Linked DNA regions of Styela clava. The protein of the gene in region 3 purifies or fractionates together with the protein of the main gene of each other region. This does not show direct contact. Links are inferred from orthologs where the notes say so. Each region holds a gene or a part of one and is shown on either strand. Other genes may lie near its edges.

Evidence for each region.
Region 1: the proteins of co-chaperone protein daf-41-like (region 3) and peptidyl-prolyl cis-trans isomerase FKBP4-like purify together in Homo sapiens (affinity purification with mass spectrometry; 3 studies listed by BioGRID and IntAct, with this or other methods). This does not show direct contact. The link is inferred for Styela clava from reciprocal best matches to the Homo sapiens genes PTGES3 and FKBP4.
Region 2: the proteins of co-chaperone protein daf-41-like (region 3) and protein AAR2 homolog purify together in Homo sapiens (affinity purification with mass spectrometry; 3 studies listed by BioGRID and IntAct, with this or other methods). This does not show direct contact. The link is inferred for Styela clava from reciprocal best matches to the Homo sapiens genes PTGES3 and AAR2.

What each region holds. Positions count from the first base shown.
Region 1 is NC_135261.1:9,014,257-9,022,796, forward strand, and holds the start of peptidyl-prolyl cis-trans isomerase FKBP4-like, read left to right. Parts: upstream 1-4,606; 5' UTR 4,607-4,766; coding exon 4,767-4,838; intron 4,839-5,465; coding exon 5,466-5,610; intron 5,611-5,898; coding exon 5,899-6,062; intron 6,063-6,833; coding exon 6,834-7,002; intron 7,003-7,639; coding exon 7,640-7,902; intron 7,903-8,386; coding exon 8,387-8,540. Other genes in the region: LIM/homeobox protein Lhx1-like, read right to left, coding at 1-109, 1,027-1,226, 1,931-2,127. UniProt on the Homo sapiens protein: Immunophilin protein with PPIase and co-chaperone activities. Component of steroid receptors heterocomplexes through interaction with heat-shock protein 90 (HSP90).
Region 2 is NC_135254.1:12,006,915-12,015,022, forward strand, and holds protein AAR2 homolog, read right to left. Parts: upstream 3,151-8,108; 5' UTR 3,086-3,150; coding exon 1,985-3,085; 3' UTR 1,490-1,984; downstream 1-1,489. Other genes in the region: malonyl-CoA-acyl carrier protein transacylase, mitochondrial-like, read right to left, coding at 242-1,393. UniProt on the Homo sapiens protein: Component of the U5 snRNP complex that is required for spliceosome assembly and for pre-mRNA splicing.
Region 3 is NC_135259.1:4,438,188-4,446,779, forward strand, and holds the start of co-chaperone protein daf-41-like, read left to right. Parts: upstream 1-5,073; 5' UTR 5,074-5,231; coding exon 5,232-5,251; intron 5,252-5,795; coding exon 5,796-5,979; intron 5,980-6,895; coding exon 6,896-6,994; intron 6,995-7,666; coding exon 7,667-7,819; intron 7,820-8,071; coding exon 8,072-8,171; intron 8,172-8,592. UniProt on the Homo sapiens protein: Cytosolic prostaglandin synthase that catalyzes the oxidoreduction of prostaglandin endoperoxide H2 (PGH2) to prostaglandin E2 (PGE2).

The DNA.
Region 1 (8,540 bases), on a different chromosome or scaffold from region 3:
GCAACTCCAGGTGTATTTTCAAAAAACTGAGATGAGTTAGACGAATTATTTAAATCAGACACTTCTGACGAGAAAGATGATTCGTGATCGTTCTGCTTTGATTGTGTACCTGTATAAGTAATATTATAAAACGTTTATATATTTAAACATCAACATCGGCGCTCCAGAAGTGTGTTACCAATATGGAGGCAACCCAATTTTGTTCGAGTTCTTTACATCAAATTGTGTAAAGGGACTGAATCCTATGGACATTGGACAGGGTGTATATTCACTTGGCTAACAAAGCGAGTCCCCGAACTCGTAATAGAACTAAAATAAGGAAAATCGGAACAAAATCATTGCCCAACCCTAACCTGGTACACACGATACCGGAGTACATTACGGGAATACTTTTCTTTTTTTAGAGGATATAATATTACATAACCAAAGCCCAAATATGCATAACGTTATATGCTTTGGAAGTGTCGTTTATAAAACTACAGTTGATTATTGTAAGAAAAGAAATATTATATTTATTAATATTATACAGTTCTTTGAAACATAAATGTATGCTTGAATATTCAGTAATGTCTGGAAAACATCAGATCGAGCAATAAATTGTTATCGTAAAATTTTATTCTATCATTAGAAAACGCGCAACCTTATGATTCAACTTGGTCACATTCGAATAAAATACAAAAATAAATTCAGCAAATAAAATGAAATATATTTATTCAAAGAACAACAACACTAAAATATAATATTAATGGTACTTCATTTTTCAATATCATTTAGTTACCAGATTAGTGTTAGCAACAACCAACCAGAATGGTTTTTATCTAAAAATACTGAAGACTACGCCCTATACATGACATGGTTTAGAAATTAGCATGGTATACTCTATTCAGAAACGAAACAAGTAGGTCTGAAGGTTTGGGTGATCACTGGTAATTCAAACTATCTGATGACGTCAAGAAATATCAGTGACAAAATGGTAGTTTTTTTGAATGTTTTAAAATGAGGAAAGTATTAAGATATTTGAATTACCTAAATTTTGCAGTTGATAATCTTTCTCGCATAAAATATTTGAATCGTACGTTTTGTAAACTCTATCTCCCGTCATAATTTTTCTCGAACAGATATTGCACCGAAGACAAGTTTCGTGAAATATAAGATCGTGTACTCTTCTTACGATTTGATCCGCCATTAATTTATCATTACAACCACGGCACTCAGGTCCAAAACGTCTGTAGAAAATAGAAGGAAATAAATTTGTAGTTGTACAGATTAGTTGTCTACTTATAGTTAGTGGTAGTAGTCGAAATTCCAAAACACAGCTAATTTGTCATCACGTATCGCACGCATTCAGATCCATTGGAAAATACTAAATTATAACAAACAGTAATGTTAAACTATAGCTAGTCCTAATGTCTTGTTTGTCACGAAAGTCTGTCTAGTGGTTTAGAAAAGTGAGGTAAATAATTTTGAAATTTATTCTTAATTGTGAATTTATCTACAAATAAGAGTTATATGCATAAATATATTGATAATTTCCCATTTGAATATAAATTATCAGTTCGTATTACGCTACTCCCTTGAACTCACAGTTTGAATATTAATAACAGCTTAATGATCGTTATGATATAGAAACGATTTACAGAAAGTTTGTAGTCGAATCAAAGTGCAAAAATATTATATTACGCTCTTTTTTAGAATAAAATGTTGAGACGTAATCAAATACAGATCAAGCAGGATGAATTATGGCTGGAGCTTTGTAAAAAATGCCCTAATCATCTTGTAATTATAACTGCTTTGCAGTATATATATATAACTTAGTAACATCTATATAAAAATAGAATTAGCCTGGTTTTCTTCAACTTAAATTTATTTCTTGAATATGCAATACTTAAATAAAATAACTTATAATAGAGGTAATTTTAAAACAACTCACCTAAAATAATCTTTTCTGCAATATAATAAGTCGTTTTTCGAATAACATTTCTCGTCAAGCAGTTCATCACAATCGTGACATCGGACACATTTAGCATGCCACAAAAATCCATCCACCCGGAATATGAATCTATCTAAGATGTGGCAACCACAAGCGTGACATGGGGACGGTACAGAAGAAGAATCCGAGTTATTCATATCTGATGCCAGTGAACCAGAAGGCTATGTTCTTGAATTGCAGAGACGATGCTACTGATTGACGACTGATCTGATTTTTATTCACGGTAACATCTGACTTGAAATAAAAATCGCCTTTTTCGTGACCTTTTTTTCTCAAAGTCAGAGTCACGCGTGCCAAAAAGAACCGTAAATTCGCACCCACTTCGCTGTTTTTAAAATCCTCCGATCACATTTGACCGAACATAAGTCGTAGAAAATCTGCATCATTTTGTGCAAATTGGATGAATTCCATGCTTGATGAAGCTTGATCGCGTGTTCAATTTTTAAGCCCTCCCTTCTTCGCTCACGGTCGTTGTGTATTTCTCCCTCTCTCCCTCCGTGAAATAACAAATCCGTTATGGTTATTGCAGGCTATTTATTTATCGATTACACAAAGATTCGAAGTTTAAGTAAAGAATTAAAACTTCAAAAAAACTTTTGAATAAATTTGAATAAACAACAATTCAATTCCTCAACATTTTTAAGCTTACCATTATTCAGTAATCATAAAATCATAAAAAAAATCACGTAGTCAATAGGCATAAAAACGGGAGTTTTTGTGTTTACACAATCAGTTTCTATTTTGTCGTCAGGTCAGCGTATGGTTCTGAAACAAAAGAACAACTTGAGTTAATTTTGTAGCAAATATGATGCTTCGCTGGTTAACTTCCCTAGTTCTCTTTTAGTTATTTGAGGTTCTTCATTAACAAGAATCTAAGTCGAATGTAACATCAAATGTCAAGCAATAATCGACATGTATAATACAAATTTAAACGTCACTCAAAACTTTCAAAATCTCTGTGAGAATCGAGCATTGGCTCCTCCACATTGATTTTCTGATGCGTACGCCGGTCAATGATGGCTCGTGTTTTGTGTTATGAAGAGAATTAGACAGGATTACAAGAGGATTAACGTAACCAAGGTTTGATTTACAAAAATGGTCTCTATAGTATATATAGAATATCTGGATAATCCTAATATATAGACAGACTTGGCGATTGCTCGATCGTAATGTCGATATTAGGCCAAAGTTTGACCCTAACACGTCTCAATTTCATCAATAGAACGTGGTGCTGTCGATTTGCAGAATGCGAGAAAATTTGAATCAATTTGTATACTAATTGCATCAAAATCGAACATAGATAATTTTGTTATTACCATCAGTACATTAGCTTATTCTAACGAAACAAAATAGCGTATAAACTCGAATATCTATACTTGCATCTCATGTGCTTATAGATTATCAAACATGATTTTCCACTCCCGGAAAGAAATAGCATAGGCATTCAAGTATATTGATGCATTTGCAGCTACCAGTACAAAATTTGATTATTGTCCCGCAAAATATAAACTTTATGGGGCTCAAAATTTCTTTTATTTGTTAACAGCCTAGGAGAAGTAATCGATTTTAAAGTGAATACCAAGAACGTAGGCTACGTTAAAATAAGAAAATATCTTGGTGCTACTTCCGTATGCGAAGTCAGCGGTTGTGTGATCTCAGTGATTTTGGTATAGTTTAATAACTGGATACTATGAGAATGTCTTTGTGAAGTCAAACGCATACCAACATGGCACGATTCTTTTTATGAAAATTTTGGATGCGCTTCTTGGGAACGTATCTTATCACTTACGTAGAACATAGAACATGAAGGGAAAATTCTCGAGGCATCTTATGCCTTAATGAATTGACATTGGAGTTCTTTGGGTTGAGTAAACAAATACGTTCAGATGCGCAAGATTTTTCTTAACCCGTGAGCCTGGTCTTTTGCAGGTTAGACCACGGTGGCGGGTGGCTAAATCTTACTACAGTACTTTATTTTCATTATATGCATACAGAGCTCATGCAACTCGAAATGTTTCTGCAATTCTTTTGTGTCCATGCACCTCCGGCTAAGAATGGTCATGTTAAAAAAATTTCCAAACAACCTCCGTATTGTATATATGTATGTTTATTTGCATACATACAATACGGCAGTTGTTTGAACATATATTTACGGTTTGAAGAGGTTTCAATTCATGTATTATCGTATATATTACACCACCGTATATTTTGATTGCAGCCATACGCTAACCTGTAAAATACTCATAAAATTATTGGTAAAAGTTGAATTAAAAATAAAAAAATTTTAGGGTCAGAAAGATCTGCGGGACAACCACATTAAAAAGAATTTCGTGGGGTTGGAACAACGACTAACAAACCGGGCTGGAATTACGGCGATTTGAAAATTAGACGTTGCCAGATTTATCGCAGTAATCTGTTCCTAAAAAATCATAATTAGCATAGATTTCAAAATTATAATATTTGATTTATTTATGCGTAAAATTATGTCAATAATTGGCTTTTGATAGAAATAAATACATCTACTATACGTGACTGCACCAGAATATAGACGTTGAATAAATTAAAACCCTGGCATCATTCAACTCCTCGCATGTTTTTGTGCTAGGCCAGCCCCCAGCTCTAGAATTTTCTAAGTCGTACTTCGACAGTTCTGCATTTCTTCTGTCACCGATACCGTGGTTTTTACTCTACCAACTGATTAGCTCTAGACTAGTTGGTTTTTCATTTTCAGACTTTCCTATTCTTTTTTCGTTCGATAATTTTTTTGCAACTCAGAATGGCAAATGAAGAAAGTGCAACCAATGCACCAATAGATTTGACTTTGGTGCAGAATGGAGGAGTATTGAAGGTTGGTGAAATTTGAAATTTTTTGTTGTGATTTCATTGATTTTAATATAAGACAGTAAGAATAATTATTATTGGTGCGACAATTTTCAGTGTAATTACACAATCGCGGTGACGTGAAAATTGCGGGGAATTTAGATGTTTTGTTACTGGTTTAGGATTTTGGCCAGATTGCGTGGCCCATTTTTGTTGTCTAAAATTTCGGTGGCCCATTAACTTTTTGATCCAAGGTAAAGATTAGAAGAAAAAAAAACTTGTTTTTCAAAATAATATTTTTTCTTAATAATTAGAATGAAAACCAGCATCATCATTCATCGCTACTACAATAAAATTTAACCATAGTGACATAAATGAAACTGAATTTTTCAATGATTATAGCACTTTTAATAGGCGTGTGGCTCACCTGAAAATGTCACCTGTTTGATAACCGGTGCATTATTCAGTCATTTAAATTAGAAATTGGGTTCCTTAGTTCCCAAGCAAATTCTAATATTCTGTGGAGCGCTATTTTCCATTTTTATTATACTTGCTTAGCTGACTTTTAGTAGAAATTAAAAATTGAGTCCCTCTCTGCCATAAACTGATAAATAGTGAAGCGCTCAGGTCGATGAAAAAGTCTTTATTTTTGTAGGAAATAATCACTCCCGGAACATGTGATGAATCTCCATCGGAAGGTTGTAACGTTTTCGTTCACTACACAGGAACTTTACTCGATGGAACTAAATTTGATTCTTCTGTTGATCGCGGAGAAAAATTCTCTTTCAATTTGGGCAAAGGTATGGTTAACTTTGAAAATCTGAAAATATTCACAGCACATCACCATGAGGATTCAACAAACCGAGAATATTTTCATCTCCCATAGTATTTACTGTGTGATTGTATTTTACACTTCACTGCTTTTTTCACGAAGTTATGATTATTGTATTCATCTTTTTGTCATGTTTTCTAATCTGATTTTCTAATTTTCAAAACGACTTTTTTGGTAATTTGTGAAAAAGCGAACATATCGGTTAAAAATTTTTTGCAGAAAACACCTTTTACTACTTTACGATTCTATTTTTTAGGTCAAGTTATTAAAGCTTGGGATCTCGGTGTTGCTTCCATGAAAAGAGGAGAGAAATGTAAACTGACTTGCAAGCCAGAGTTTGCATATGGAGAGAAAGGAAGCCCACCTACCATTCCAGCTAATGCTACTCTTGTATTTGAAATTGAGTTATTTGATTGGGAGGTAGGTATATAGGATTTGAAGTTTTTCAAATAATTTGATCAAGACACAATCATACATAATTACTCAAAAGTGGAGGATGCTCATTCCTGAGCAAAGTTTTTGGTGACCCTAAGATGCCTAGAGCTATTAAACATATGAAGGAATGATAAAACACTACATGTCATTATTACAAAACTTGAAGTCTGTGTGATTGAATCCTTTTCCCAGTATACCAATTAAAATTTTAGTTTGTAATATTCAAAACAGGGTTCTTGAGAATTGTGATAAATGGAATTATAGTATTTTAGTAGATTTTTTGTAGTATAATTATCAATCAATTAAAATACTATTTTTTCAAGTAATAGTGAAATAAAAAATCCAACAATTTGAATAGAATTATCACTAGTCAAATTTGTGTGTACAATAGATAGAATTTACATGTTTATCTCAGGAGAGAGGAGAGAGAATAAGACTGCTCAATCATATGGTGAACCACAACCTCTTGTTGTACGGTTACCAGTCCATGGCAGGTATATGATTAGCTGGGTATTAGTTTCAGATGCATGGACTTGATAGTGGAGGGAGCTGCAACCGACCAGTGGTTATGTGAACCACCCTATGGCAGCGAGGAGTCCAGCATTCTTTTTGCACATAGTTGTCCCCAGGGGATTCGAACCTGTGAACCAACATAGGTTAATCAGAGGGGCTGTGGCGAGCGTATTTGTAACGCTTAGCAATAATTATAATAGAATAAATTGGAACAACAGTTTATTGACTTTCATTCTGTTATAGTTTGAAGATGTTTCTCCCGATAGTGACAAAAGTATAACAAGACAAGTTTTGAAAGAAGGCAAATTGTACGAAACTCCCAACGATGGAGCTAATGTATCAATTGACATCAAGGGATCATATGGAGATACAGTTTTTGATGAGAGGTCATTGAAATTCAATATCAATGAAGGTACAGACACGCAACACTGAATTTTAATCTATTGACTGATCAAAGACAAGATTAGATTGTTGGAATTGTCATAGAGTTGAAAGTTGACCTTGTTGATGGTGTGTTTGCACCTATTCAATCTGAACAATTGTATAGACAAGTAGAGCAAAGAGATGCTGCCTGTTTAGATATTACTCACAAAATTATTACCCTCGATGTGATGTTGCAGGTATAGGGTCCCAAGATCTTTTATCTTATACAGTGTTGTCCAAATTTTTTAATCCCTACCCACTTGGAACTGCCAAATTTTTGCTTTTATATAGGTTAGTGACAAAAATTTTTTTTAAAGAAAAATAAGTATGGCTTGTTTTGACAGTATTGAGTACTGCGATGTCGTGGTAACCCCAGTAAATATTCACTAACATGATGAAGTCAAATAAGCAATGTGCTAACCCCTATACAATTTTTTGTGAGCCATAGGATATGTGAAGTTATATCTTATATATATTTGCAGTGTGCGCCACTCTATAGCAACCTCATAACATTATTTAGCTCGGACTTTTTTTTATAATAGAAGAGCTTTGGACTTGGGCTCGGTGATCGATATAACTCAAACCAATTTCAACATTTTCAAATTAAAAACTGTATTTTGTAACAGATGAATGTGAGAATATTCCGAAACCTGTTGAAGATTCCATAAAGAAAATGAAAAAAGACGAGACTTCACTGTTTCGAGTAAATTCGAAGCATGCTTTCGGAAGCGAGGGACATGAGGGTTTAGGTGTGCCAAAGGATACCGATGTCAATTATGAAATTCATTTGAAAAACTTTGAAAAGGCAAAGGAATCGTGGGAAATGAGTGATGAAGAGAAAGTGGAACAAGGAGAAATTATAAAAGCAAAAGGAACAACTTTTTTCAAGGTTTGCGATTTTCGTTAATGTATTGTTCGTCTTCACTACCAAATCTTAACGATAGGTAATATGAATTTAAACTTATTTTTATTGTTTTTGATGAAGTTATTTGAATGAAGATGAGCCTGACTTCAACTTGACAAAATATGTTGTTTACAAATCATTAATTTTAGTTTGAATTTTGATTCTTAGAGAGAAAAAATTTCAAAGCTTCAATACCCACTTAGGAATAGCAAGTATAATATTCTCAATTTCTACCTAGCAAGTTCAGCATTTCGGTTCTGGAGTACCAAAATTTTAACTGTAGAACTATTTTCCTGTTTGTGAGTGTTTTCAGCCTCGTTTAGAAAATTCAGCTCTGACTTCTGATTATACGAGTCTGAAATCCTGAACTAAGAGAATTAGGATTTTTAAAACTACAGCCCTGATCTAATTACAGTGAGAAACTCCCAAAGTTGCTAAAACCTTGATTGTTATGCACTTTCATTATCAGGAAGGACAATTGAACAAGGCCATTATTCAATACAAGAAAATAAAAGATTTGCTGGACTACAGAGAGGATGCAAAGAAATCCGAACTTGATGAGAAATGGAACTCTCTCAAACTTGCCGCTCATTTGAACTTGGCTCTGTGTTATATAAAAGTTA
Region 2 (8,108 bases), on a different chromosome or scaffold from region 3:
AGGAAGAATACCAGTATATATTTATTCATTCATTACAGTAGGCAGTAAGCAGAGACATGCTGCACAATGCCCATTTTTCTGGTGAAAATAAGATACTTCGATCATTTCGATGTAGTCCCAGTTCGCTACTTCCACCGATATATGAATTAGTCAAACATCAGGCTATTTCAGATATGCCATGCTTCAATGAATAACATCAGATTCATCCAGATGCTGAATTCACTAACATCATGACATAAAATCAACCATTTTCATTATCAGCAGTCCTGTTATCTCTATTGTCAACAGGTAAATAATTCTTCCATGCTTTACCATTGCAGTGTTTCAATAATACCCCAAGCTGGTGGTTCGGACCCAATTCATAAGTGTGAGGTGCTTTATTTTTATACTGTGCATACATGGCATGAATTGTCTGCTCCCACAAAACTGGTCTTATAATTTGCTCTAGAAGTTTTTCGACAATGTCAGCCGAGTCCTTATATGGTTTGCCATCTATATTGCCATAAACCGTCACCATGGGTTCTTTTACTTCAATAGCTTTCAGTGCATGCTTCATTTTCTTAACTGCAGGTCGCATTAAAGCAGTATGAAATGCTCCAGACACTGGAAGAATCTGAACCCTCCTGATGTGATAATTTTGCTTTTGTGATGATAGATATTCAAGCGCAGCACGGTGACCAGCTACAGTTCTTATATTTGGTGCCAAATAACCAGAAACCCTGCAAAGAACTCTTTCCATGCCTAGCTTTTCATGACAATACTCCACTGCATCAGTACATGCCAAGTTGAACTTAGTTTTTGCACCACCAACCAAAGAAATCATTCCCCCACCAGTGTCATCAGATGCCTTTTGCATCTCAAGTGCTCTGATTTTCACTAAGCTGATGGCATCTTCGAAAGTCAGAGCTCCGGAAAACACGAGGGCGGCATATTCTCCAACACTATATCCTGCCACTGCCATGCAATTTTCTAAAACTTCTGGTGTTTCAGCTTGAAGCTTTTCAACACCCGCAAGTGAGGTAACAACAACAGCAGGTTGGCAGTAGATGGTTTTATCCAACTGATTTTTAGGACCATGGATGCACAGGTCTAATAATTTGAATCCCAAAATTTCCGAAGCAACATCAAACATATCTTTGACATTTGGATATTTCAAAAGATTTTTCACCATTCCAACATACTGACTTCCTTGCCCAGGAAACAAAAGTGTCGAAGTGTTCTCGAGTTTATCAGGAATTTTCTTTGAACCTCCTGTACCTCCAAATAAATCATTTACAAGCTGTTCTTCCATCAACTTATCGTTGTTTAATTCTCCTTCTACAGCCACATTGTAGTTGCGATGGCAGAAAAAAAAACGCCTGGTCCACAATCTTGGTCTCAGAGCAAGACTCATAGTTACTCTAAAAATGTTCCTTTACTTACATTTTGAATTCAATAAAACATTTTATTTTCTCCACAATTAGTGTAGTAGTCTATATCAATTAGTATATCTAGATGGCAAAAATTGAAGAAAAATAATGTTTTTGCTTGGAAGCTGTTTGTAGGTGAAATATCCAATTATTTTGAATGGAGAATTAAGCATGATATAAGAAAAATGACATGAAACATCACAGACTATTTTAATTTGTAAGTGTGATACAACAGATGCATCACTGAGTTTCAATTTTTAATTGCCGCAATGTCAACGAGGGCAGGAAGAGATGGGGGCATTACAATTTTGTAGCCAGTTTGCTCCTCCATTCCTAGCTTTCCTTACGATGTGGAATCATTCAGTATAAACATATTTACAAATTGTAGCAAATATTTTGTTTAACAATAGTATTTTATTTTATGAAATAGGTTTGTTTTGAATCGACCTGACTCACTATGTAATTTTTGATCCCGATTGAGCTACTTTAAAATCTTAAATTTAAACAAAATTTTATGACCCATTTATATGAAAAAAGTGTAATTTCAGTTGAAATCCATCAACATAATTATATTCTTATATTTCTACAACCACAGGCGCCCAATCATCTGGCTCACTTTTAAAATTCCACTTAAATTTTTTAGTCAAATATTTTTGAAACTGTTTGCCACGTTTTTGTAGACTTGCATCAATTCCCTCAGTTTGCAGATTACTAAAAAGTATAGTTAAAGTTGAAACTAAAAAGTTATTAGAGCTAACAACATCAACAAAAAAATCCTTTGGTATTTCATTGAGTTGATGATAAAATACTGTAAGTAAACTCTCGTACAATTTTTGATGTTCTTTCAGCAAGTCATCACAAGAACATAGGACATTTACAAGGGATTTCCATTGTTCAAAAGCATCAAGCACCTGCCCTAAAACAAAACATACAAATGCAAACTGCAGTTCACCAAGCAAGTCTTCAGGTTGGGAAGAGTTTTTTATTATTTGTCCTAAAATGTATGATGAATCCACACTATGCTTTGAAATTTCATGTGGAGTTGCGTTTGGGGGATACCATTGTTTAGGTATCATTGAAAATTTTATCTCAGTCCCAGGTTTAGGTTTTAGTATAGGCAGTCCATCCTCGTCAACTGCACTTGATCTTGGCACTTTGACACTCTCTTCCGACATCTCTCTCCCACTTGGTGAAACATTGCTTTCTGAAATTAACTCGGGAACAGACTGAATTTTTCCGTTTTCGGGTTGAAGTTTAACCATAACATCATTATTAATCCAGTCTGTCAGAGACACCCATTTTTCTAAGGTGTCATATGGATAAGGCGCCAAATTTTTATCCAAGTTTTTCAGATTTTCTCTGAGTGAATTCATCTCATCAACAGACTTGTGAGAGAATTGGATTTCCTCATTATTAACATCCCAATGGCTAATAAAAATTTCCCTCTGTTTGAAAAAATGGAAGAATCCAGACCTTGGAGATGAATGGCCACCATGTTTTCCATTTGAACTATAAAAAATAAAGTGGAGGCCAGGGGGAATCATTTTAACACCTTTGAATTTGGGTCCGGTAATCCAAGAATTCCAATCCATTCCAAATTCTGTACCTTTCGGCATATCAACAAGAATTAAAAATGCACCTTCTTCAAACAGTTTTTTGGCCAAACCTTGGTCCATGATCAGGAGGTAGCACTATGATAATACTATTAAGTCTGAAAAAAAAATTGTATTTTTGGTTACCTTCAGGCAAATATATATGAACAATAACGATAATATATTTGCATCGGCGGTAAGGCGCATTATGCAGTTGTGTGATAAGGCTATATGTGAGAGGATTGCTGGACTCCTCGGCTATGAAGCGTAGTTCAGTCTGTATACCAGTATAAAAAATATCTAGATGGGAAAACAAAACATCCAGAAATTAAAAATAAACATAAGAAGAGAGTACAAATAGTTCACTATATTACATCATAGTAGAAGATCATTTAAAGTTGGTGTTGCTGCTACAGTTGCTTTAGAGGGTTTTTATATGTTACTGCTGTTGTACATGTTTTTTTAAACCGGAACAGGTTCCCTATGTGACATGCAACATTGTTTATTCGGAATTATGGTAGGTTGAATTTAATGATGACTTGTATTGCATTCAGTGAATCTGTCTTCCTGCTGTTTCTTAGTTCAGTAGTTTGTTTTTTCCAGTTTATTGCACTTAATATTTTTTAACACCAGCATTTAAATGACGTAGTAACATTGCTGGCGTACATTGCTGTTGCCGTGATATTGTTCCACTTTCTGATTCTACTAGATTGAAGTTTTGTAGCTTACTTTTTGCCCTGCCAATAATGTTTTTTGAGATAGCTATTTTTCTGACAGCTCACAGTCAGGGTTGCCATATTGGCTTTTTTAACGCCAAATTTGCCATTTTTCAAACGCGTTTGGCGTCAGAATTTCCGTTTGGTTTTTCGGCGTTTTTCAAGTCATTCTAGTTTCTATTATTAAAATCATATGAAGTAGCCTACAATATTTCAGTATACAATAGCCTATTACTGTATTACACGTACTTAGCTACTTAACATTAGGATTTCCTGGAGCATCGATTTCCTTGTTTGTTACATTATTAATGCATTAACTCTTAACCATACCCAATGAGAAATAATTGCAGTTTCTGCAGCTGCTCAGACATATGTTAAAGCAGGGTTGTAAACATTGCCTTGTTATTATAGTTTTGCGTGTTATTTGTCAGTTTTACGTTCCGTTTCCAAAAAATAGTTGTATAACTTAATTTTATTATGCCTGATATGGTTTATGTAAGCTTTAGTTTATTTCTGCAATTGCAGTAACGATGTGATTAACTTTGCTAAAATTACTGAATTAGATATCATGGGTTCACTCGTGAGCGGCATTTTTTAATAAAATTGATGGTTTATAAATTTTAAAAGTGAACAAATTTTCAATAGTAAAGTACGATATAGGGAGAATTTTTTAAGGTACCGGTATATCACAAGTTTAAGTAGAAACATGTAGGTATATTACATACTGACAGACTGAAGCAGCACCCTGTATTGTATATATTGAATGGTAAAATGATGCTGTCCGCTTGATATTTATTTTACTTTCTACAGTTCTATAGGAACTTTACTTTCTATTTATTTGCCTCACTGAATGAACTGATAGCTCTACATCACCATCACTCCATCAGTATGTTGTCAAGGGCTTAAAATCTGACAAATCATGGGGCTTTTGTACTTAGTAGATATGTTGGCTTTTTCAAATTTTGATTTGGCTTTTTTTGATCGCTGGGGTCTGGCAACCCTGCTCACAGTATGTATGTCGTATGTTGCTGACAGAAAACAAAGACACGCTTTTTAAAACAGTCAAATTTTCAGGCAGTCTCTGTTTCAGCAGTTTATGTGAATTACCAGTATATATTTAAACCTATAAAAGTGATTTTATAAAAGGAAACTTCAGAAGTGGGGCTAATGATCCAAAATAAAGAATTAGTCGCGGTCCGAATCGAATACCCGAAAGGTCCGGATTCGGACCGCGGTCCGCCAGTTGAGTAGCCCTGGTCTATGCCATTTCGACAGCCAAACAAAACGGAAACGTACCGGTACCGGTATAATCCGACTTGCAACTGACAGGAGCCAAATGGACGTTTTTGTTTTTTTGCCGTCCAGTAAACAAAGTCACGTGACCACCGTATTGTTCTGTTGGCTGTACGTATAGTATAATTAGACAACGAAATAGATCTTCAGTTATATTCCACTGTTTCAAAAGATCCGAAACGTCGCGCAATGTGGATATCATCTATTACCGGCAGCAGTACTGCTTGGTGTCAAGTCCAGAAGTCATCTCGCTTGTGTTTCAATGTTTGCGGACAGCACTTCATTGATGGTGAGTGATAATGTGCCGTTATCAATTTCCTCTAATATTCTCCCTCCCTCCCTAAAAAGTTCCCTCATTTCAATGGAAAGCAGATGACAAACTACTGTTATTGGTAGGCGTAGGCCTAGGCTACCGGTACCGGTACCGTACTTGCTGACTTGACTTGTGTAAGAAATCAATCATCAATTGCCATAAGGTATTGTTTCCCTAGTTATAGTTAGCAAGTAATCTATTGCTAAGTGTGAAGGTTGAATAGATAACTAAAGTTTAACACCAGTGGTCATGTAAAAAATAACCAGAATTCAATTGAATTCGCCATCTAGGAATAAGGTACGCTCGCCACCGCATCCCTGATCACCCTGGTAGTTTCACAGGTTCCAATCCCATGCGGGGATAATTATGTGCGAGAGGATTGCAGCTCTACCACCACACACGACCGCTGATCGGTTACGACCATCTAAGTCCATGCTTCTGAAAACAAATAACTGGCTAACTAATCCCAACATAGAATGGTAATCGTACGAGAGACTGTGGTTCGCTATATGATTTAGTTGTTGCACCTGCAATCCTCCCCTCCCAGATAAATCCTATCTTAAAGGTGCTTGTACAACTGACCCAAAATGTCTTTTTATTGTCATTGGTAAAAAAGATATGCTACCCGGATATGCTAATCAAGTTCATTTACGACTAGTGTTTGTGGTGGGATATGGACATAAATTTCACACCACTTGATCGTTAGATTTTATGAAAACTCTACAATTATTACAAAGCTAGTGCAGGATCATAATATCGAATGAATCTGTATCCATTTTCTTACAGATATGGGTGCGACCGTGGAATAGATGGATGGCAAAGTATAAGTTGCAACAAGACCACAGTGGCACAAGACCTCAGCTTGCGTGACTTGATAATACATCCTCAGTATTCCTTTATTGATGCTTATTGTAATGACAAAGTAACTTGTGGTTACTGTGGATTGGTGGAGATAAAGTGTCCATTGTGCTTGAACGAAAGCAACTTCAATACGACCCTATCAAGGAATTTTTTTTTGTTTCGGTGGGTCTGGTAGTGAAGGTTTCAGTCTAATTGGACACCGATACTACAACCAAATACAGTTGCCAATGAAACTTAGCGAGGCGTAATATTGCGACTTTGTGATCTGAAAGAAAATTCTGATGTTAAAGAATATTATGAGATTTGACTTAGAGTGTAAACTTTTATATGAGAGGGGTGTAACCCAAGCTAATTTGCAAATGGTATTCATGGTACCAAATGTATCAAACACTTTACAGTAATTATAAATTATATTTGAAAAATAAAGCACATCAAAAATGTACTTATTATTTGGTTTCTGCGAGACTAACTACTTATCCTTCTTCTATGCTTTTGTGCCGGTGGATCCGTATGCATATATTGCAAGGATGCTGTAGCAAGAGTAGAGATAACAATCCTAAGTGATTCAAGAGTCTTGCTGCACACTAACACAAATATATTTCTGTAACGTTTCGTCTGACCAAGGTCAGACTTCTTCAGACATACATAATTCAACTGAATTATGTATGTCTGAAGAAGTCTGACCTTGGTCAGACGAAACGTTACAGAAATATATTTGTGTTAGTGTGCAGCAAGACTCTTGAATCACTTAGGATCAAAAATGTATTTTTAAAAAACAATTGGTTTTATCTGCAGATACCAGGTTTATATTGAGATTGACCATTTCAATGCTAAATTTTTCTTAGTCAAAAGGCACACTTGATTTGCAAAGATTTGTGAATGCGCACAGTACACCAATTTGTCTAATGTTTTGATTCCATAGGCAGGAGGTTGTGGATCAGTGCTGCTCAGGATGGGATATTTTTGCTTATAAATGCATATTACGTGTTTCACATAAATCCATCGTGCTCAGATTCGACTGTTTTCAAGGTCTGAAGGCTTCAACTGCTTAATTTCATCGGTACACAAGAAAATTTTCAGTGTGGCATGCATGGGCTAGTTGGAGTCACTAACATCAAGATATCTATAAGCAAGGATAAGATAACCTGGAAGTAACATTCCATAATTTAGAGTAAAAAATGTATCTGCCTCCACAGCCCTTTCAAATGGAAGATATGGTGCCTTGGGGGTAATTTCTATCAAATATTTCACAGTGTTAGGGTTTTAGTGAAAATGGGTATAGGCGGCTTTTTTTAAAGTGTGGTAGGTCTATTCGAAAGACACATTAAATGTTTATGCTAACAACTGCAAAGTGATATTGCAACGCATACAAGTTAACAGAATTTGTTGAAATGGTCCTGCCTTTTGCCTTTCTCCTCTTTTTCTAACTATTCTTCTCTGGGGATGGCGAAAATTCAAATATTGATGGCTTTTATAAGCTGCTGATATTGGGTCATTTTTCTTTTATCCTGAAAAGAAATTAAACATCAGATCAGTAATAGAGTACCTGCTAACTAACGAAACAATCAGACAACACCATTCTGGCCATTGATAAAGAGTTCTTTCAATTAAAACGCAAATATGCCTACCAATGTCGGTAGTTTTTAGGATAAGATTTATCTGAGGGGGGGGGGGTTGGGGGGATTGCAAGATGCAACATCGTACGATTACCATTCTATGTCGGGATTAGTTAGCCAGTTAATTGTTTTCAGGAACATGTACTTGATGGTGGGGGATGTCGTAATCGACCAGCGGTCGTGTGAACCACCCTCAGTGGGAGAAGAGCTGCAATCCTCTCGCACATAACTATCCTTACATGGGATTGGAACCTGTGAAACTACCAGGGTGATCAGAGATGCGGTGGCGAGCGTATTCCTAGATGGCA
Region 3 (8,592 bases):
GATAAGTGTCAAGATTTATTCCATAAATAGGAGAGAAATTGTTTGTGTAATAGAATATGCTGTAAAGTTTTGGTGTACCGCACAATGCATTCTGCGGCCGCCTTTCGCCCATACACTTCCGACGGTGAACCGACGTACAAATATTTTTGTCAATGCAATACAATAAATTCACGAAAGTCGGGAAATCCATTCAATTTATTCAACAACATAAATTCTACATTTCTGAAGATTTGAATATCAAAGTCTGTATCGCAGAATATAGATTGAAAACATCAAAACAAAACAAATATATATACAAAATGTCTAGTTCTAGAAAACTATCCAGAGGTTAGCTGTTAGCAAAACATTGCTGTCATGCTCAGCCGCATGTAAGCAGTACAAAAGTTAATATGACTTGTGAAAATGGAGCAGTAATTACAGTACTATCAGCGCAAAATGCACGTTCGACGTTCATTTTAGCACAATGAACGTACACAGTTTCACCGAAAGCACGCGCCAAGAGTGCATCCTTCGCAGAAAATGTTGCGTACCGATAGAGAACTTAAGCCTATTATATCATAGCTATTCCTAGAATATTTTGGATTACTGCAATTACACTAGAACTCCTAAGAAGGCAAAATGATGATTGGCATATTTGATTCATACTTGAAAATCTACGAAGTGGAATGAAGTGCGAGTGGATGCGAAAAGGCTTCTGTAACGTCACTTTTTGCGTCTTGCTGATTGGACAATATTACGAAATAAACAAGGCAGTCGACTCTCGGAGAAACATCTCTTAGAGATAAATTTCGAGCAAAACTTTGCGGGCCAGATGAAAGGACGCCGCGGGCCGGAAGCGGTCCGCGGGCCGTAGTTTGGTGACCCCTGCGTTGCAGCATTGTTGCCAGTAGTTGATGACCGATTTTATTATTAATTTTTATCACTGGAATGTGAGTATTTTATTTTTAATAATTCGTGACTTAGCGGGTCACCAAAAACATGGTAATCCGCAAACCGATCAGTTTTTCGTTATCCCAGGCTATGCCATCTATAATGCCCATGACGTCAGCAATGACGTAATAATGTTTTCTGTGCCTATGTTATATCGACATATGGTAGTGTAATATGTATTAGGCCGTCATAAATGAATTTTTAAATTTTACCGGACCGGGTACCGAACCACAGTCATACATTGCACATGAAAACGTTACTAAATAACATGCGTCAACTTAACACCACCTGAATCGGGGTACAAATTTTGGTACAGTGACTGTCATAGCCGTTTAGGGCTGATGGACAATTCGACTACATGGACAACTCACCAGGTCTATCTGAAGTCGAGTTGTCGTCTGCCTCCCATTTCACATGTCCCGTGACAATGATCTACTCTTCCCCATTCAATTGCAATATGAATTGAAATACTAAGTAATCCGTTTCATTCACTTCTCTCCATTATTGGAACAAAATTTAAAAAACAAGCCCCGCTTTTACCAGACAGCTACGAGTTAGTTCAGTGTCACCGCGCTACCGGAACTGCCCTATCTTTAGAAGATCCTATCTTGTGATAGCGGGAATTGAAATTGCAAGATGGTGCGACTCACAACTGTAGTAACACCAACGATCCGAGTCACTACTGTAATATAACACTATTCGCCATTCTTCAAATCTTAGCAAAGCAAGGATTCCAATACGAACCACCGACGTTTGATTGCACGTGATTAAAAGACATGAAGAGCAGTGCCAGCATATGAGTCCGCAGAACGTTGGGTGACGTCATAGCAAACAAAAACAAATCTCACAGAGCCAACAGAAATATTTGAAATAAATAAAAGTAATAGCCTTCTGGAGAAAAAAATCCTTTTTAACCGCTAAAAATTTCAAAGCAAGTGGTCCAGTAATCAAAGAGAAAAGCGACTTTTTCGATTTTCCACTAGGTGTCCAGAAAGTGTCAAAGAACAAGAACAACAACATAATGTTGAAACGATCCATAGGTTCACTACGTGTGCAATTATCATATTTGTGTTTGCCCAAATAAATTAGTATAGGTATATATATATAACTATCAATAGGATCCCCTTTTTGGACACGTAGTGGACATAACGATCGTTTCAATATTATGTTGTTGTTCTTGTTCTTTGACACGTTTTTAAAAAGTCGCTTTTCTCTTCGAATACTGGACCAATTGCTTTGAAATTTTCAGTGGTTAAAGATTAATTTTTTCGCTAGAAGGCTATTACTTTTATTTATTTCAAAATTTTGCGTGAATTCTATGAAATTTGATATTTCGTCAAAAATTTTGCTGTATTATTTTTTATCCATGGGAACACGGATTTTAGTCAGTGTCATGACTGGCTGAACGTTTTGATTCTGCAAAATTCTTGCTACTGGAAATTTAGAACTTTTTTGAGGGTACCGGTAGCGTCAAAGGTACCGGTAAGGACTGATTCGCTCTGGTCTAACGTTTCCATATATTTGTGCGTAGCTCTCTTGTTCAGCATATTAAGGCATTTTAGGGGAAATAACTTTTCAAAATTCTAAATATTCACATTTCGATTTTTAAAGCTAGAGAGGTGGGGCTCTTCATATCTAGACAAATTCATTTATTCGGCCGTATTTATTTTAGTAACCTTTGGAATGAAAAATATTCAATTTTTGGGGAGTAAAGGCTAATTTATAGCTATCCTAATTTTTTTAGCTATTATTAGGGTTACCATATTTTTTTGACTACAAAGCATAGAGAATTTATCTATTCGCCCAAGCATGCTTTTCTGTAGATAACATCGTCAAAAAGATGTTACAATGTTACATTCACGTGAACGTCCGAACAGGACCAAATAGAATGATTTTACACGTGATACGTTCGCTAACAATATTAGCGGGAAACGACGAAACAAACAAAATAGCTCATTCACCTTCAGTAAGTAGGCTAGTGTTGCGCTACACAGCAACAACAGTAACGAGAACATGTTCGTGTGGCGCGGCGGTGTGGCTCAACGGGCTAAGCGTTAGGAATACGCTCGCCACCGCACCTCTAATTACTCTGCGTGGGTTCGCAGGTTCGAATCTCATGCAGGGATGATTATGTGCGAGAGGATTGCTGGACTCCGCGCCGTCGTTGGGTGGTTCACGTAACCGCTGGTCGGTTACGGCTTCCTCCACCATTAAGTCCATGCTTACAAAAACAAAACAATATAACTAATCCCATGCCCGACTTGGAATGGTAACCGGACGAGAGGCCGTGAATCGCCATATGGATAAGCCGTCTTATCGGCTTTCCTCTCACCCGGGATAAATATGTAAATCCTATTATATCCTAATATGCTGGATGGCTGAACTGATGGCTTTGGGCTGACTTGTCGGGACGGCGGGACAAGACGTTAGAAAGCGGGACTGTCCCGCCTAAAGCAGGACGTGTGGTAAGCCTAGCTATTATACATTTCGCCCAAAGCATTTGGATTTTGGAGAAATGGGGATGAAGACTGTATCAGTAGACTCCCTATTTGGAGCGAAAAAAGAATTGATCACGTAGTACGCTATTTTTATTTTAATTTGCACTATTTTTGTGGAATCTTACAGCCGCTAAACAAGGACAGATAATTGGTTTAATTTCACAAACATATTAATCAATTCAGAGCCACATGGCCTTAAATCAAAACGAAACACTGTGAATAAACAGTTAAAATTGTGGCGCTCAGGAAACGTACATTCGTGTTTTCGTCATGTATACTCTATGGTTATGAAAAATTTAATTTATCATAAGATGTAGTTGGTACTTTGCTTTCCCTGACAACAACAAAAAATAATAAATACCCGAATCCCGCATTGAAATTTCAAAATATAAATCTGCCATTTGGTCGTTGATTAACAAATGGCGTCACGGCGCGCACGTGCTGCTCGCGACGGGTGCTTCACTACCTTGCGACATTTCCCCATTTACAAGGGCTTGCGTCGGCTTATCTCCCTCTTTTCGATGTGTTTTTGACATGCCGGCGTTCTATGAATTTCTGTATTTGAAAGTAAGGACTGAGGCAAGTCTGCAAGTGTACCTAGATTTTGATATGTCATCTTTTTACATAGCCTTATGAACTGAATCCGTAGTTCTGTAGTTAGTTGAAGTTTGACGCTGGTTTACAGGCTTAGGACAGACTGACAGAAGAAACATCTGGAATGTTGGTTGAAAGGGTTGAAAGATAATTATGTACTGTTGCCACTGCTGAACTGTATAAGGCAGTAAGGTCCAGCATACCGGTACGGTACTCAGATAGTCCACCGGTACCGTACCTGGATCATGTCATAAGCTTCATTTGACTGTTTGACATTATCTGGTCTTTTGAGAGTTTGGTGTATTAGACTAATCAAAATTTGTAAATATGCTTCTAATAGTCGGAGATTTCAGTCTGTCTTCAAACTGTCTGTTAACCCAGTAACCCTCCAAATTATACTTTTTGAGTTTTGTTTATTTATAAAACTATTGACAGATTGACCTCAAACTTTGAGGTCTGCTGGTATACCGGTAGTTTAGTACCACATGCACTTCTAGTTGGCCCCGGCTCAACAATTTCTGAATTTTTGCATAGGCTATGTCATTCCTAACCCCCACCTGCCGTCGCCGGTCATCCAAAACGCGTCTGCGCGTAGACCATCACCTGAAATTGAGCAAGCTATTTCTCTTGTGTTCTCGACACAACGACCCTCATATGAGACAGATCGCCGATATTTGTGAGTTTGTTATTGGCGGCGCAGATAGCTAGCAGCTATACTTTGTCGAGCTCTACGATGTGAGTGTGACGTAATTATTGCGACATCTGATGATACCTATGCTGGCTTGAATAAATTTTTGATGCTGATGAATGAGATTTGCCAGTTTCAGAGTTTGTAGAAAGGTGAACAGAATCAGAAAAGGTTAGGTATATAAAATTGGAAACTTGAGGCCTGGGGTTCGATTACCAGTTACAGAATTAGCTTTCCAATCATCTACATTTTAACTAGAACTTACACCTTTTGAAAGTTAGGCGTTTTGAGACCTTGGGTCATTGAAAAGGTTCGTCTGAGAAAATCTGGTGTGAACACGATAACAACAATAAACTTGGGTATTATCTGTGTTTTACAGCATTAATAGTTTACAATTTTCAGTAGGATATCTCTTCACACCTGCTCGAAGCTGAGAACATTCAGAACTCACTTTTGTTGTTATTAATTTTTCGTTTTCAATAAACTTCAGAACTAGACGTTGCATTATATTCAAATACAAAATGTCTTCAGGAGATTCATGGTAAGCTATACTCTGTTAGCTTTTGTTCTATAGCCTGTTTGTTTATCTCTTGCCCCATATTTCCTAGTTTGATCACGATGGTAAATTTGTTCGGTACTCCTGTAGTATGTGAACCAAGATGGCGGACACCGAAATGTAGTATGTTTACCAGGTAATGGTTAGGCCATAATTTCAGGTACAAATACTACGGGAGTCACTTGGCTAGTCCCCGAACTCGTAATAGAACTAAAATAAGGAAAATTGGAATAAAAATATGGCCTAACCTGATACACATACTACGTTCTGGTTTCTTGGTTCACATACCACGGGAATACCATTTGTTCACCACTAACAAAAATGAGTATCAGAATTCAAGCCAATCTTTAACCAGCTTGAATCTTGGTTATCAATGAAATTACAAATAGACATATTTAGTAAATAGTTTGATGTGAATTTCTAATTTTTTAACCAAAATTGTTGGAACAAAGTCTTAAAGCAGGTTGGAAATGTTTTCAAAAATTAACAGAGTCCACAAGTTAATTGTATTATTTTTTTATTTTCATAGTGAATATGTCCCAACAATATGGGCACAGCGAAAAGATTTACTGCTGATATCATTTTGTGTCGAAGATTGTAAAAATCCAGATGTGAAATTCGAAGAAAAGAAAATAATATTTAACGGTCAGGGTGGATCGTTAAACAAAAAATATCATTCACAATTAGAATTATTTAAAGAAATAGATCCTAAGGTTTGTTAATTTTTTCTACGTTTGTGATTTAAAAAAAAATATAATTCATGAATTGAGATGTGATTATATATTCAAATTAAGTTTTATTCCATTACAATTTAACACAGCGACTTTCTCAGTTTCTGTTCAATGTTCATAATATGTCACATACTCACATTCATGAATATTGTCTCTGCTCAAAATTATCAGTTCTAATATGGTTGGGAGATACAGATTGAGATTATACAAATAGTTGTGTGTTTTTTTATGCAACGTATTGATACTTTTACACCTAACAAGACTCTGCATAGGGAACCACTAATAGGTAAGGAGCTGCTTCATCAGTTCTTTCGATTCAGCATTGCCTGAGCAGTTTATTAGATAATCCTGTTGTGTGTGAATCAGGTTAGGGTTAGGCCATGATGTTATCCCGATTTTCCTTATTTTAGTTCTATCACGAGTTCGGGGACGGCCTGTGTTAGCCAAGTGAATATACCCCCCTACCCATAGGTTTCGGTCCCCTTACACAACTTGATGTAAAGTATGCGAACAAAATTATTTACTGTAAATTCATATTGGTACACACACTTCTGGAGCGCCGTTTATTATACCCCGAGTTAGATGGCAGGCATGGGATTTGAATCCGAAGTGCCACCATAATTTAGTCTAACACTTTAACCACTTGGTCACTGTTTGTGCAAATCAATTTGTGTAGAAAGACCTGCAAGGCATATAACAAGGTGTAGTTAACAGGGTTAATTTCCAAAATTTCCAACTAACTTTGTTTTGTTAGAAATATCTACTCCTTCTCACGTGTTAATTAGAGAGTTGAAAATATTGAATCTGACTCAATATCTTATTAACTCAGGCTAATAAAATTTGGAACTTTTTGTGTGAATATTTTTATATGTAAAGTTTGTGTTTAAATTGTGTTTAGCAATGCACAGTGAAGAAAACATCAAGGCTAATATATGTACAAGCACAAAAGAAGGAATCTGGTCCGTTCTGGCCAAGACTGTTAGACGCAAAAATGAAGGTAAATTCTTTAAATTATACAATGAAAGTAATTATCTGCATCGACACAAATGGTTACAATCGACACCTAACAAAATTATGTATGTCTGAAGAAGTCCGACCTTGGTCAGACGAAGCATTATAGAAATATATTTGTGTTAGTGTGCAGCAAGACTCTTGAATCACTTCACATGGACAAACATGGCATTTTATTACTCTCTTTGAATACAACCCGATATATAATTTGAGATATTGCCAATGGTACGCAATGATTTAATTTGGGGTTTACCGAAGTCGATTGACCGGGGGCCAAAACTAGAAGCGGGAGGGTATTTGTGGACCCAGAGAGGGGAGCGCCCGCAAGGGCTGTTACTGTAAGCATATTTGAGATACTGGTATAATTGAATTGTTACTTATATACACATGCTCAAACTTTGATAATGATGTAACAAAGTGTTAAACTATTTCACTCAAGTTCGGCGGGCCATAGTAAATCGTTACTCAGGTCGTTATTGCCCCGTGGGCTGCAGTTTGGGAACCACTTATGACTGATTTAATTAATGTGGGTGAATTTTAAAATGTAATTTATTGAGTTTTTCTAGGCATTTAAACTGCATGGAAAATATACACAACTGTTCCTGGTATTTAATTTGACTATACTACGATATCTAAACAAACTCATTTATGATTTCAGCAACATTGGTTGAAAATTGATTTCAACAAGTGGAAAGATGAAGATGAATCGTCAGATGATGATACAGAAATGGGGGGTATGGGCATGGGTGGGGGCATGGGCATGGGTGGTGGCATGGGCATGGGTGGAGGTCAACAACCTGATCTTTCTCAGGTAAAAATGTTTTTGAAAACTGTTATGTGATACTGTAATGGGTAAAATTAGTGTATGCTTTTGAAAGAATATCTTTGATTATCAAATCAAGTTTTACACACGATTCTTCGATTGCTTATTAAATATTCTTATTAATAATAAACCTTTATTGAGGCTAATTTTGTGTGATTTCAGTGTAGTCAATTTCATTGCAGCTCATTATGTATTCACTACAAATATATTCATTTATTTTTATGACCTCATTATTTATAGATGCTACAACAGATGGGAAGGGGAACTGGAAGCGCTGACTTTGGTGATCTGGATGATGGCGATGATGATGAAGGCAGTGAACCTGATAGTGATGATGAAGGTATTTAATAATATATTAGATTTTTATAGAAAACAGAGCGAGTGTTTATGACTGGACAGCATTTTGTTCCTGAAGCTCTGGCTGCTGTGAATCAAAAAGATTACTGCAGTTTTTTGTTGTAAGCCTTGGATTTCGATGAAAGGGGAGGCATGAAGCCAAATACTCCTGTCCTCACCTATTACACATCATAGCTGTTCCCAAACTATAAGTCGTAATAGGTATAAAAATGGGTCGCAACTTTTTTTTACAGTTTTCAAGTTCTTTATTTCATTATAGACTGAACGTATTTCATTTGGCTTCTTTCTAGGAAGAACTATATCAAGTTAAGATTTGTTGAATCTTTTGTAGAAAGCCCCACCAACGCTCAGAATTACAGTAAATTACAATAATATTTAATGACAGTAAAATATACCAAGCCGCT